Arabidopsis thaliana: one gene and its partners. The main gene of each other region encodes a partner of the protein of the gene in region 3 in a complex. Each region holds a gene or a part of one and is shown on either strand. Other genes may lie near its edges. The genes, in order: THO7, THO2 and DWA1.

Region 1 (3,754 bases), on a different chromosome or scaffold from region 3:
ATATGATCGGGCAACCCAAACCTATCGAACCAAGTCAAAAGCGGAACACTGTTTAATTTCTAATTTCTAAGCCGGTTCAAAAGCAAACCCGTCACGACGTAATTAATTTATAGTAAACCACCTCGGTTTAATTGAATCAACAGTTCAGCCTCGGTTTGGAGTAAAAAAGTACATTACCAAGAAATTGGTATTTCTTAACCGGTTATACAAACCATAATTTCTTAAACATCTGCATTTTACAATGATACAATCTTTCTTGCATCTGCAAATTTGAAAGAAACAATCTTTGTTTCTCAGTTCTTCTATCCGAATCACAGGTTTCAGTATACTGAGCTGCCGCAGTTTTGGTTAACATAGGCATATCAGAAACAGGAAACAGATGACAAAGCAAACGCTTGAAACATGATGCAGGTTTTATCGAGATTTGGACTTAATCAACAGACATAGCGTCGGTTATGTTCCTCTGATCTTCCGACGCTGACCGAATCTCGTCCACCAAACTCTTCTGCTCATCTTCCATTGTGTTCTGCAACTCATCCACCTACATTCCCAAAAACGTTCACAATCACAAACTCAAACTTCAAACATAGATCACGTAATGAAGACTGAAACGTAAAAGGTTCGGTTTTTTGACATTACCACATGCATCAGGAGAGCAAACTGCTTCTTCCTTAGCTCAAGCAATCTCCAACTTGCAGTGCTCTCTGCTTCAAGCTCAGCAATCTCCTTGTTCAATTCATATATAACCTTCTCTGTCTCTGACCTTGGCGGTTGCGCAGAAATCAGTTTCCTTATCGTCTCACACTCTTCTTTATGCTGTCTATCTATTTTACTCTCCTCAAGCTGCTTCTTTAGATCTTCAATCTCAGCTTTCGCCTGCATTATCTGCCTTTCCGTCTCATCTTTCACCTCATTAAAGCTCTCTTTCTCCCTAAGGTTTGCTTCCACAACCGCTTGGCTCTTCAGAAGCGGAATCTCGAAAGTTGACAGTTCCTGTAAAAAAGCTTTGGCAAGTCTACCGCAGTCGTTATAGTTCTCTTCTTCTTTATCCACCTCGAGTACAAAAGAAGTGAACTTCTTCTGAAGTTTCTTCAATGGAGGCTCGCCTCGAGTGGTCGTGGTTCGGGTTAGAAGCCGGTTTCTTATGATTTTGTCATCGTCAACAGGATCAAATGCATAATTAACCTTAGTTACTACAGTCTCTAATCTACCAGAAATTCTCCTTGCTTTAACTGACATCTCAACTTACTTAAAAACCTCTTAATTCAATCCTGCAAAGGCAATGCACAAACAAAGAACATTCAACAACCAAACAATCTTAACCTACAGAAATAAAGCTAAGGGATACATATTCAAGCTTGGATCTAAATAGCAGAACTGAAACATAAAGTATTACCATTTACGCAATAAATCTCTCGATTTCTTATTCTCTTCTTCAATTTCTCAATCAAACTTAAATAGATTTTCATGAGCATTCATCATCAAAATCTTAACTGTTATTTCATTGATTCGTAAGCAATTTCTCAATCGTACCATTCGAACACAATTTATGGTACAAAAAAAAGCAAAAGGTTAACTCTTTACTTACTTGAAGTGACCCCAGATCCAGATTCGTCTTCTGCTATCAAAAATTGAGCAAAACAGGTCCCTTTTGTTCAAATTTTGATGAACCCTAAAAATTGAGACAATTCATCTTCGTCCTCCCTTGTCTTTTTCTTTTTGGGTTAAATGCAACAAGTACTCTCAACTTATATTATATTACAAAATAGACCCTAAGTTATTAAAATATAATATATACCCACATTCTTTTTTTTTATACTCTAATGCCCTGTTAATTTTTTTTTACAAATAATTGTACAAAAGGCCCACAACTACAAACATAATCTAGTAATCGAGTATACACATGACACCAAATCTTACTTTCATAAAGTGTCACTCAAAAATTAAATTAAATTAAAATCTATTGAGATATAGAAATGTGTAGCAAGGAAATCAAAACCATAAAAGATAACTTAAAAAGACTCTAATTTTACGGGTCAAAAAATCACATGATTGAACAAGAATGTACATTTTCGTCGCTAAAAATCTGAGAGGGATAAGCATGTTGAGATGAATACTGAGGAGGGTAACTAAAGATTTTGTTTCCATCACTTTCTTCCTTCTTATTATTGTTCTTCTTATTATTGTCTTTGCCTTTCTCTGTAATTTGACTTAGAAGCTCTGCATGTTTCCCAAGTTTTTTCTTGATTTTCTCCACAAGTTTTGGAGGATCCATGACTCCTCGTACCACTACCGTTGACTTTGACCGGTCTGGTTCCACCGATTGAATGCCTTTTAATTTGTCAAAACAAACAAACATATTCTAAGTTGTTTTTTTTAACTTTCGATATCGTATTATTTCTATATGTATATACAAAGATTACCTTTTATTTTTTCAATGCCTCTTTTGATTTCATGAACACATCCTTCACAGTGCATGTTCATTCTTAAAATTGCAGTTTTGATCTCGGGAGCACTCTAAAATCATGCAAAAAATATTTAGAAATGATTAGATATGTTAGTTGTTATTCTCAGATTAATTAGACAAGGTATGATATAAATGAGAGTATATATCTAAGTTCTAACACGAAATAATTGGAAATAACTTACTTCTTTCTTTTGCTGTGGCTCCTTCTGATCTTGTTTAGGGTTATGTTTTGGGGAAATCATCTCAGCATTTCTACTAAATTTCTTTTGCACTCTTCGTAATATCTTCAACGGATCATCAAATTTTCCAGACACAACAACTTTATTGTCTCCTATCTCTGTCTTAATATGCTCAACCCCTATAAGACAAATAAGATAATAGCTACTTATGAGTCATGAGTAAGAAGAAAAAAACGGTAATCCTATTTTTTAATTGATGCTTTAAGAACTAGAGATTACTATTCGTTATGTCATTGTGGGAATTAATAGACAACTTCTCTAGATTACAGGAAAGAAAAATAAAACTGAAACCAGACTAGATAATGCTTAAGTTAAATTATAGTACAATTTCACTCAATGATAAATGATTAAATATTTGACATTGATTCTTATGATCGAGACCATATATATATGATTCCATTAAAGAGGGAAAGTAATCTAATAATGTTTCTTTTAATAGAGTATTACCATCATAGCCCCTCAAGCAATGAGAAACTTGTGATGCACATCCTTCACAGTGCATGTAAACCTTCAGAACAATTTCTTTACATTGATTTTTCTTATCAGACTTATCGACTGATGAATCTCCATTTTTCTGGTTCTTCTTTTCAGACTTGTTGTCTGATTCTCCATTTTGCTTGTTCTTTAGAACCAAATCCAAAACACAAAATATAAGTTCACATAATTTACTTAACAAATTACTGGAATTACCAAAGACAGGAATGCACATACCTTTCCCATATCAATGTTTACTCCTTTGTACGACAAGTGCAATGAAAAAGTTGAATAGTGAGACTCGATATATATAAGGTCAGAGAGGTTTTACGATCAATTAATTATTTCATTTGTAACATACATAAAATTATTTACTTCTCAATCTGGATGATCCTATTTGTTTACAATGAATAATAATTCTAATATTCACTAACAGGATTGATGACAAAGAGACAAATAATTTTGTAACGATCATTAGTAAATTAAATTTCAATCGGGACTTGTGTAACTTCTTATTCAGTGTCCAAATAAGTACACTATTCATTATTCCGATTTTCTAAAATCATGAATAGTT
Region 2 (3,754 bases), on a different chromosome or scaffold from region 3:
TTACTTATAAACAATGAGCAGTAGTTACACAGGTAAAGTAGAAATTCTTATAAGCATTAATCTTTCGCAATAGCAATTCACTCAGAGTAACTATTACGTAAATCAGAGCACAGTGCAGCTGCATTGATGACTAAAGTGTGAAGTCATATTAATACAGCAGTTACAGAAGTGTGAAGTCCTCACCTCTTTCCCCTTCAAATCTTGGGCCTTTATTTTAACCATATCAGCTTCCCAGAGAAACTCCTCCTAAAATAAAATAAATAAAACGCCTTCAGAAAATTTTCTTCTTACTGATCAAGAAAATAGAGAGGTTAAGTGGGTGGGGTACAAACTACTCAAATTGGGAATAATAACAAACATTTTAGGACTTGCCCGCTCCTATCCTTTACATCTACAGCAAGAAGAAGAGGGCTATTCCGTGAGACCAGCTGGTCCACTGGATCTTTGAGGACAATTCTTCAGTCTTAAGGGATTAATGTGACATTCGAAACAGGCTACAGCCTTGAAGTTAACTTCTATAACTACCTTAGCAGCTACAATAACTATTATTTAGCAGTCTCTATCTATCACTCCAGACTTGTTCAAGCTACGGTTTCTATGATGGGCAGTAGGATTGCATGATGCACATGCTATATAGATGAGGGGTACCAGTGAGGGAGTTATCGAGAACTAGTGAAAGGTGGAAGGGGGGATAAGAGGGGACTCTATTAAGAAACCTCTCAAAGCTGTATTTTCTTGTTTTAAGTTCTATTAATATAAAGATTCTCTACGTATTACTCTGTTTCATTGGCTGAACGTAACATAATGTTTACCTCGCAACGCTCTTGGAAAAGCCTTTGAGGGACTGTCTGTGATTCCACAAGCCATTTCGCCTACCAAAAAAGAACAATTGGTTCATTAGCTGTGAGCATAGAAACCTTGAGGAGATGGTAAATGAGAACAGAAAGAATATTTTAAGGAAGAAACTAAAGTACGCAATCATCAAATTCAATAAAATAAGACATATGCTAACAACTCCTCTGTAAGCAGCTCATCAGAGAACATTGGATCAAGCATACAAGGAAAATTCAATACCAAACTACGCTAATAGATCATCTAAGGCACTATGGTCAAAGTTTCAGCTCCTTAGGATGAAGTAGCCTTTTACAATCAGGAACTTTCTTGCAACCTGCCCAGGATGAGCCATCGGTTGGTTGAACCTTAGGACACTACTGATAGCTATACACCACATGCCTAATCTATTCATAGGATGTTACTTTTTGTGATCACTAATATCTAAAGAGCTAGAATTATCTTTCCTCAAGACTAACAAATCCAAACAATGATCAATTTTCAAAACGTAAAATAAATTCTAGCACTCACCAATTTGATTAGACGAGAACGTTGATCTCCCGACATGGTAAGCTGCAAAACAAAGCAAAGAGAACACGAACCCAATCAATCCAACGATCAGTATCAATAACCTTGCACAATCATCTCTGAGCTAAGGATGTCAAAACTGTAATTGGACTTACGTCTTGAGCTATCTGAGTCACAACATCCGCAAAACACGAAGCTAATTCTTCTCTCGATGGCTTATCCAAAAACTCCACACCTTCCAACACTGCCTTACAGCTCTGAATTGGCAATTCGCCACGAACCTAATAATCCATCACGAGGCACCGTTGAGGAACTCGAACAACATATACGCGTGATTGGATAGTAGTAGGAAGAGAAGGTGGTGTTTGTGTGTATACCAAAATCCAAGAGAGCTCGTAGAGGAAACGAAGCATCGGCACAGAGCTGGGCAGCTTGGTTCCATAGTTGCCATTCTTACCTTCACGAACAAACTCCTCCGTCACGTACTTACACTCCAGTAGCGGAAGAGACATCTTAAACCCCTTTCGTGTGTATGTATGTATATCTTTCACTCTCCTCCCTTTTCGAAACCCTAGAAGATTAAGAAAATAGGGTTTAGACTTCGATTGGCGACCAGAAAATAAGCATTCCGATAAGATGAAAAGGGAGAGGAACGAACAATTTTGATCAGAGAAGAAAAAGAGAAATTAGGGTTTTTGAGAGATTATTTGATTTGGTGGAAGTAAATTGAAGACGATGATGATGACGGTGTGAAGATGATGCAAATATGTTTTTGATTTTGCAGAAGAGGGGACTATTCTTTTCCTTTTTCTACTACTTACCGATTTTGTTTTTCTGTCGTCTTTTGTTTCAGCAAATTATGTTGTATACAATTTCAATACAAAACCGGGTCCGGTTAAGTCGTATGATTTTGTTTTGAATGGGCGTGAAACTATGAATTGGTTGTTATTGAACAAGCCCATGGGCTCAGATGATCTTTGAGTCCACCACGATACTACTAACAAGGCAATTAGGCAAATATCGAATTAAAAATGTTAATTACATCTTTTGGTCCTAACAGATATAAACAAATAGAAAGCAACGAGTACAAGTACTAGCTAGTAACATACCAAATTAACTAAAATATGGAAACCAAAACCTAAAAAATTTCTCAGCGTTCTTCGCTCCATTCCCGTTTTCAACCAGAATCGTTAACTACTCGGGACAAAAAAACGATCAAAGAAAGTCAGAAAAGATCCATAAGCAATTGAAAAGTTGATCCAACTTACAGTCATCTTCTCCTTCTTCTCCTCCTCGTCCTCCTTTGCTCAAGAAACAACAACAAAAGAAAACGGGTCGGTTTGACCAACGTTATTCGAAAGCTATTTGTTTTAGGTCTGGCCTGTTTATAAACTCATTATGTTAAAATCTAATCCGCTAAAAGTCATTTATAGTTAAACTTAATGTGCCTGTATTGGCGCGAGGGCTGCTGTTATTTTGTTATGTTCAAATCAGTGCTTCCAAATTGCCTCGTCTAGAATTAAAGAATATGCTTAGAAGAATTTTTGTTATATATTAAACATTTTGGTTTTTGTTAGGTTTTTTGGATCACTTATAATTTGTAATGTTGAATTCATTTGTTTTTTTTTATTAGTCAACCAGACTTTCCGACATTATCTATTATTAACTACATGTTTGTGTTTCAGTTTAACTAATTTATTAAGGCCATAGGAAAATCGTCAAATACTAACCACACGAAATAACTATAGATACTGTACTTTGGTGTCATTAAATTCAAATTGGAGTTTCATATTACCCGAAAAATGAATCGTTTTATAATTTTTATGTTAGTTGTTGCGACGTATTTTGGATTGCTTGTATCAGTTTTGTCTTGTAAACGTAACACAATTGAAATTATGAATGATCTTGGTCCCGGTTTGGTTCTCTAGTATCATCGTCATTCAAAAGACGACAATTTAGACGTCGCAAATTTACAATTCAAGGAACTAAAACAAATCCGTTTCGGAGACATGTTTGGAAGAAGGACAAGATGGACTTGTCTTTTGAAACACGGCTTATACATGCGATATTATAAAGATTTTGTAGCATATAGAGCAGCCAACATTGATCGATGTGATGCTCTACGTCGTTAGATTGCTAGAAATGATGGAATTTACCTTGTGAGAAATAGAAATCCTCAACCAAAGTTCCATCATGCATGGAATAAAACTAAGTAATGTTGATGAAAATACTATTTTTGTTGTCTTTACAATTTACGTCAACATTCTTCGTAACCTAAAAAAAAAAAAAAATCTTCATAACCTAGGGTTATAATTTATAGCAAATCAAATATGTATCCATTATATGGAAAACGAATACAAACTACTTTTCCGATCCAGACAAACAGACAGTGTGT
Region 3 (3,754 bases):
CATAAAGCTAAATTTTTGCCCTGTCCACAAACCTGAAAGAGGAGAAAATCATACCAATAACAGTAAATACATGTTCAGTATTTAAACTTCTAAGTGATTCTTCAGGAGAAAGGAACTATATTCTTAGGTTACTGGAGGCAACAATCCCTTCAAACAAATAGCAGGTTGCGAAAATGTTAGATTATCTAGTTGCTTAGTTCTTACCAACCAGCTTTCACTCCCATCAAGGGCCATAGAACTAACGCGAAGGCGGGACTTTTTATCCTGGGAACCAATTACTTTAACACATTTTCCCGTTTTGCAATCTGGTTGACAAAACAGAAAGAAGCCCTTGAGCGAACAAAGCTTAGTCTAGACAACTAAAGTAAACCACATGAACCAAAACATAACATAGTGGAAAGTTCTGTAATCACCAAAATGAATCATCATAGAGTTGTAAGAAGCAGCCAACAAAACTGAGGAGCATTGGATCTTAAGTACCAACATGAAGACTCAAATGATTTCAAAAGTTCTATAACCACGTATGACCTAATACTAGAAATTACAGCATAAAGAAATATGGTCGGGAGCATGTTACCCCAGATTCTCGCAGTCCCATCCTCTGAACCCGTCAATATCTGGAGAAAGAGACTACAATCAGACAAAAATCCAAATGTGGAACTCAGATTTGGATAGGTGCATTTCTAATATTTATGGTAACATCATTACCTGACTTGCAGAACTACGAGAAACTACAGTATGCAAATAGTCTGAATGACCTTTAAAGGTCATTTTAATCTTACCACTCTCCTGAAATTGTTGGATACACATAAATGATTTTAGAAAGTTAAGATATCTGGATTCACATAGGACATACATCTATCATGGTCAAATACATACCACGTCCCAACAATATGCGCAAGAATCACCAGCTGCTGTAAATACACTTCCTGACTATCAAAACGAAAGAAGTGAGAGAGGGTGAAACAGTTATCCTGTGAGACTGTCTAACCAAGCAATGAAATTTAAATACAATTCCAACCTGAGGATCAACAGACATGGCATTGATCTCAGGCATCGGTGAAAGCGCACCCCAAGGACCTCTATAAGAAAAAGAATGGTGATTATACACACAACTATTACGAACACTGACATTTGAACCCACAATTATAGCATTTTCAGTAACAGAGTTATCAAGTAGAATAAAAAATGAACAAAACTCATACTCACTTGTGTTGTGGATTAATCAGTTCAAGCAATGGCTTCAGATGATTCTCTGTAGATCATAAGAAAAACAACCACTAAGCTCCAAAAAGCATCATTCATATCAAAAACCACAAAAATGGCACACACACACCTTTCAAATGAAGAGACACATCTGATTCAGCAAATTCTCTCCATTTCCATCCCCTAACTCTACCATCATCACCACAACTACACATAACCAGATCAAAATTTCAAACTCTCAATTACAATTCATCAAAGACTCATCAATCAACAAAGAGAGATTTAAGTCTCTACCTAAGTAGCAAAGCATCTTCGTCTTCACCATAGAACTTAACATCATAAGCAGGACCTTCGTGTGCCCTAACCACTCTCTCAGGTTCAGCCACCATAACATCTTGACCTTTCGAGTAGCCAAAACTCGCCGATTGAGACACAAGCGAGTTCAGTGAATGGAAAGCTAAAGTTCCATCGCTGGAGGCTACAACAAATGCGTCTGGATTAGAGATTCTCGCCGGAGGAGCCCAGGCGGTTCTGAAGACGGTGCGTGTCTCTATCTCTCGCTCCTTCAAAATTGATTCTCTATACTCATCTTCATTCCAGTTTGTAGCGTCTCCGTACATGGTCCTCTGCTTCTTTGCAATTCCCGGTGATACTTGCGAAACGCCAGCGATATTACCACCAGTGGTTTAGTGCAATTGACGACTGAGAGAAAGCAATCCCTAAACCGGCCGATTTAGTAATTCTGTTAATTATATTTTACTAGCTTGTTTTTTTTTTGTCGATCAAATTACTAGCTTGCTTAAATAGACGAATTGAAGAAATAAATTTAATTTTGTATCGATAATATTTGAATTCTAAATAGTAATATATACATATTTTGTAATATTTAATTTAGTAATTTTATTTAAAAACAAAATTTTAATTTTATACATTTCATTTTAATAGAAAAATAGGTAAAAAAACTCTCACATTTTTTAAAAACATGAAAAAAAATCTTACCTTTTTAAAAATAGTAAATTAACACCTAGGATATCTTATTCAAACTAACATATCCTATGTTATTCAATTATGAATTTTTAAAAGTATCATGAAATCTAATGCTATTGAATTACTGATTTTAAAATCTCCTTAAAAATCTTCTGTTATTGAAAACATTTTAAAGATTGGATTTTAGTGACTTTAAGAGACTTAAGTGGATTTTCTTAGTTAAAAATATATAATTTTAAATCTCATGGTTTTAGGTGGAATTTGAGAGGATTTTACCATAAATCATAACAACCTCCTTAAATTCATCCAAATTCTTTAAAAAATCAAAATTATATAAAAACTCAAATAACTTAAAATATAAGATCGAATACACCTCCTTAGATTCTAGTGTTATTCAATTTTTGATGATTTTAATGCAAGTGTTATTCATTTTTCTGTCAAAACCAACATTTCATTCAAATCACCAAACCGAAAGTATCAAAGGATAAACCTCCAATGTAATTGAAAAACTCAATTAATTTTGAATGCAGTATGAGTAGAGAATTTCACTTCCTCCGCGGAGATCTGTCTATTCGTTTTAGAGATTCCATAGAATTCAAGATTCAGATGCTCTATTTCGTGTTTAATGTTAATAGCACAATATGATGAAGACAAATCAATTCAAAATTTTTTGTTCCACTTCTTTTGGTCTTCCGTCTCTTCAAATTTTGACCCATATATCTCCTCATCTATATCTACCAAGAAAAAATCATAAAGAAGACTCTGTGCGTTTTTGTTACAATTAAAATCTCCACCTTTCTTTTTGGCACTTCCAGCTTTCATAAATCTCACATCTAGGGCTACATAAATCTCATTCGCAAATACTGATTCGGAAAAAAAATTGAATTCATCCAAAACAAATGAAGCCGTCCTAGACCATCTGTAAGCATCAACTTCTTAGTACTATTCACTAGAGCATATTTGTCCTCACCCAAACATAAGTTTGCCAACTTCTCGGAGATAAAAACTGACATGCATCGTTTGCAACTCATCTCGAAAAGAATCTGGTAGATTAATCAACATGAGAGATTTTTTCGGTAGTGGTATTATGTAACCGCCATCATCAAAACCCAAGCTGGTAAGTACGTCTTCATCAGAAAATTCAGGGTCCATTAATTGTTCCTTTGTTGGTTTAGGTTTCTTATTCTTTGCTGGTGCGATCTTTGGACGATAAACATTTATTCTAATACGTTTTTTACCTCGACTTTTCTTCGTCATACCAGTATTCCAAACTGTGAAGTACATAATGGCTGTTAAAAGCTAGAAAAATTGCAGTATAGGTAATGACTAATGGACCATGTAGTTTATGGTCGGCTGATTGATGAATACACATGTAAATTTTGGTATGATTGAATAAACGTTGACGTTTCTAGAAACGTATTTAGGGGGACCGCTTATGTAGTGCTTGCGTGAGACACAAACACATATGAACAAGGGAATGTGGAAGGAGAATCAAATCAAATCAAATGCCAAAACAATATTAAAAACGTATTTCGAAGATGTTCATAATTCGTTGTCCTTG

Evidence for each region.
Region 1: DWA1 (region 3) and THO7 share a complex: the UniProt entries of both Arabidopsis thaliana proteins name them as parts of the THO complex.
Region 2: DWA1 (region 3) and THO2 share a complex: the UniProt entries of both Arabidopsis thaliana proteins name them as parts of the THO complex.

What each region holds. Positions count from the first base shown.
Region 1 is NC_003074.8:665,201-668,954, forward strand, and holds THO7 (Tho complex subunit 7/Mft1p), read right to left. Parts: upstream 1,723-3,754; 5' UTR 1,589-1,722; exon of another isoform or gene 1,397-1,588; intron 1,272-1,396; 5' UTR 1,240-1,271; coding exon 640-1,239; intron 542-639; coding exon 431-541; 3' UTR 23-430; downstream 1-22. Other genes in the region: AT3G02960 (Heavy metal transport/detoxification superfamily protein), read right to left, coding at 2,045-2,331, 2,424-2,517, 2,650-2,825, 3,154-3,328, 3,418-3,426. UniProt on the Arabidopsis thaliana protein: Acts as a component of the THO subcomplex of the TREX complex which is thought to couple mRNA transcription, processing and nuclear export.
Region 2 is NC_003070.9:8,740,327-8,744,080, reverse strand, and holds the start of THO2 (THO2), read right to left. Parts: upstream 2,142-3,754; 5' UTR 2,018-2,141; exon of another isoform or gene 1,931-2,017; 5' UTR 1,872-1,930; coding exon 1,737-1,871; exon of another isoform or gene 1,641-1,736; coding exon 1,515-1,640; intron 1,405-1,514; coding exon 1,363-1,404; intron 873-1,362; coding exon 813-872; intron 247-812; coding exon 184-246; intron 1-183. UniProt on the Arabidopsis thaliana protein: Acts as a component of the THO subcomplex of the TREX complex which is thought to couple mRNA transcription, processing and nuclear export.
Region 3 is NC_003071.7:8,413,289-8,417,042, reverse strand, and holds the start of DWA1 (DWD (DDB1-binding WD40 protein) hypersensitive to ABA 1), read right to left. Parts: upstream 1,998-3,754; 5' UTR 1,827-1,997; coding exon 1,501-1,826; intron 1,414-1,500; coding exon 1,337-1,413; intron 1,256-1,336; coding exon 1,210-1,255; intron 1,083-1,209; coding exon 1,022-1,082; intron 934-1,021; coding exon 880-933; intron 790-879; coding exon 709-789; intron 618-708; coding exon 578-617; intron 306-577; coding exon 205-305; intron 33-204; coding exon 1-32. Other genes in the region: AT2G19420 (uncharacterized protein), read right to left, coding at 3,160-3,464. UniProt on the Arabidopsis thaliana protein: Acts as a component of the THO subcomplex of the TREX complex which is thought to couple mRNA transcription, processing and nuclear export.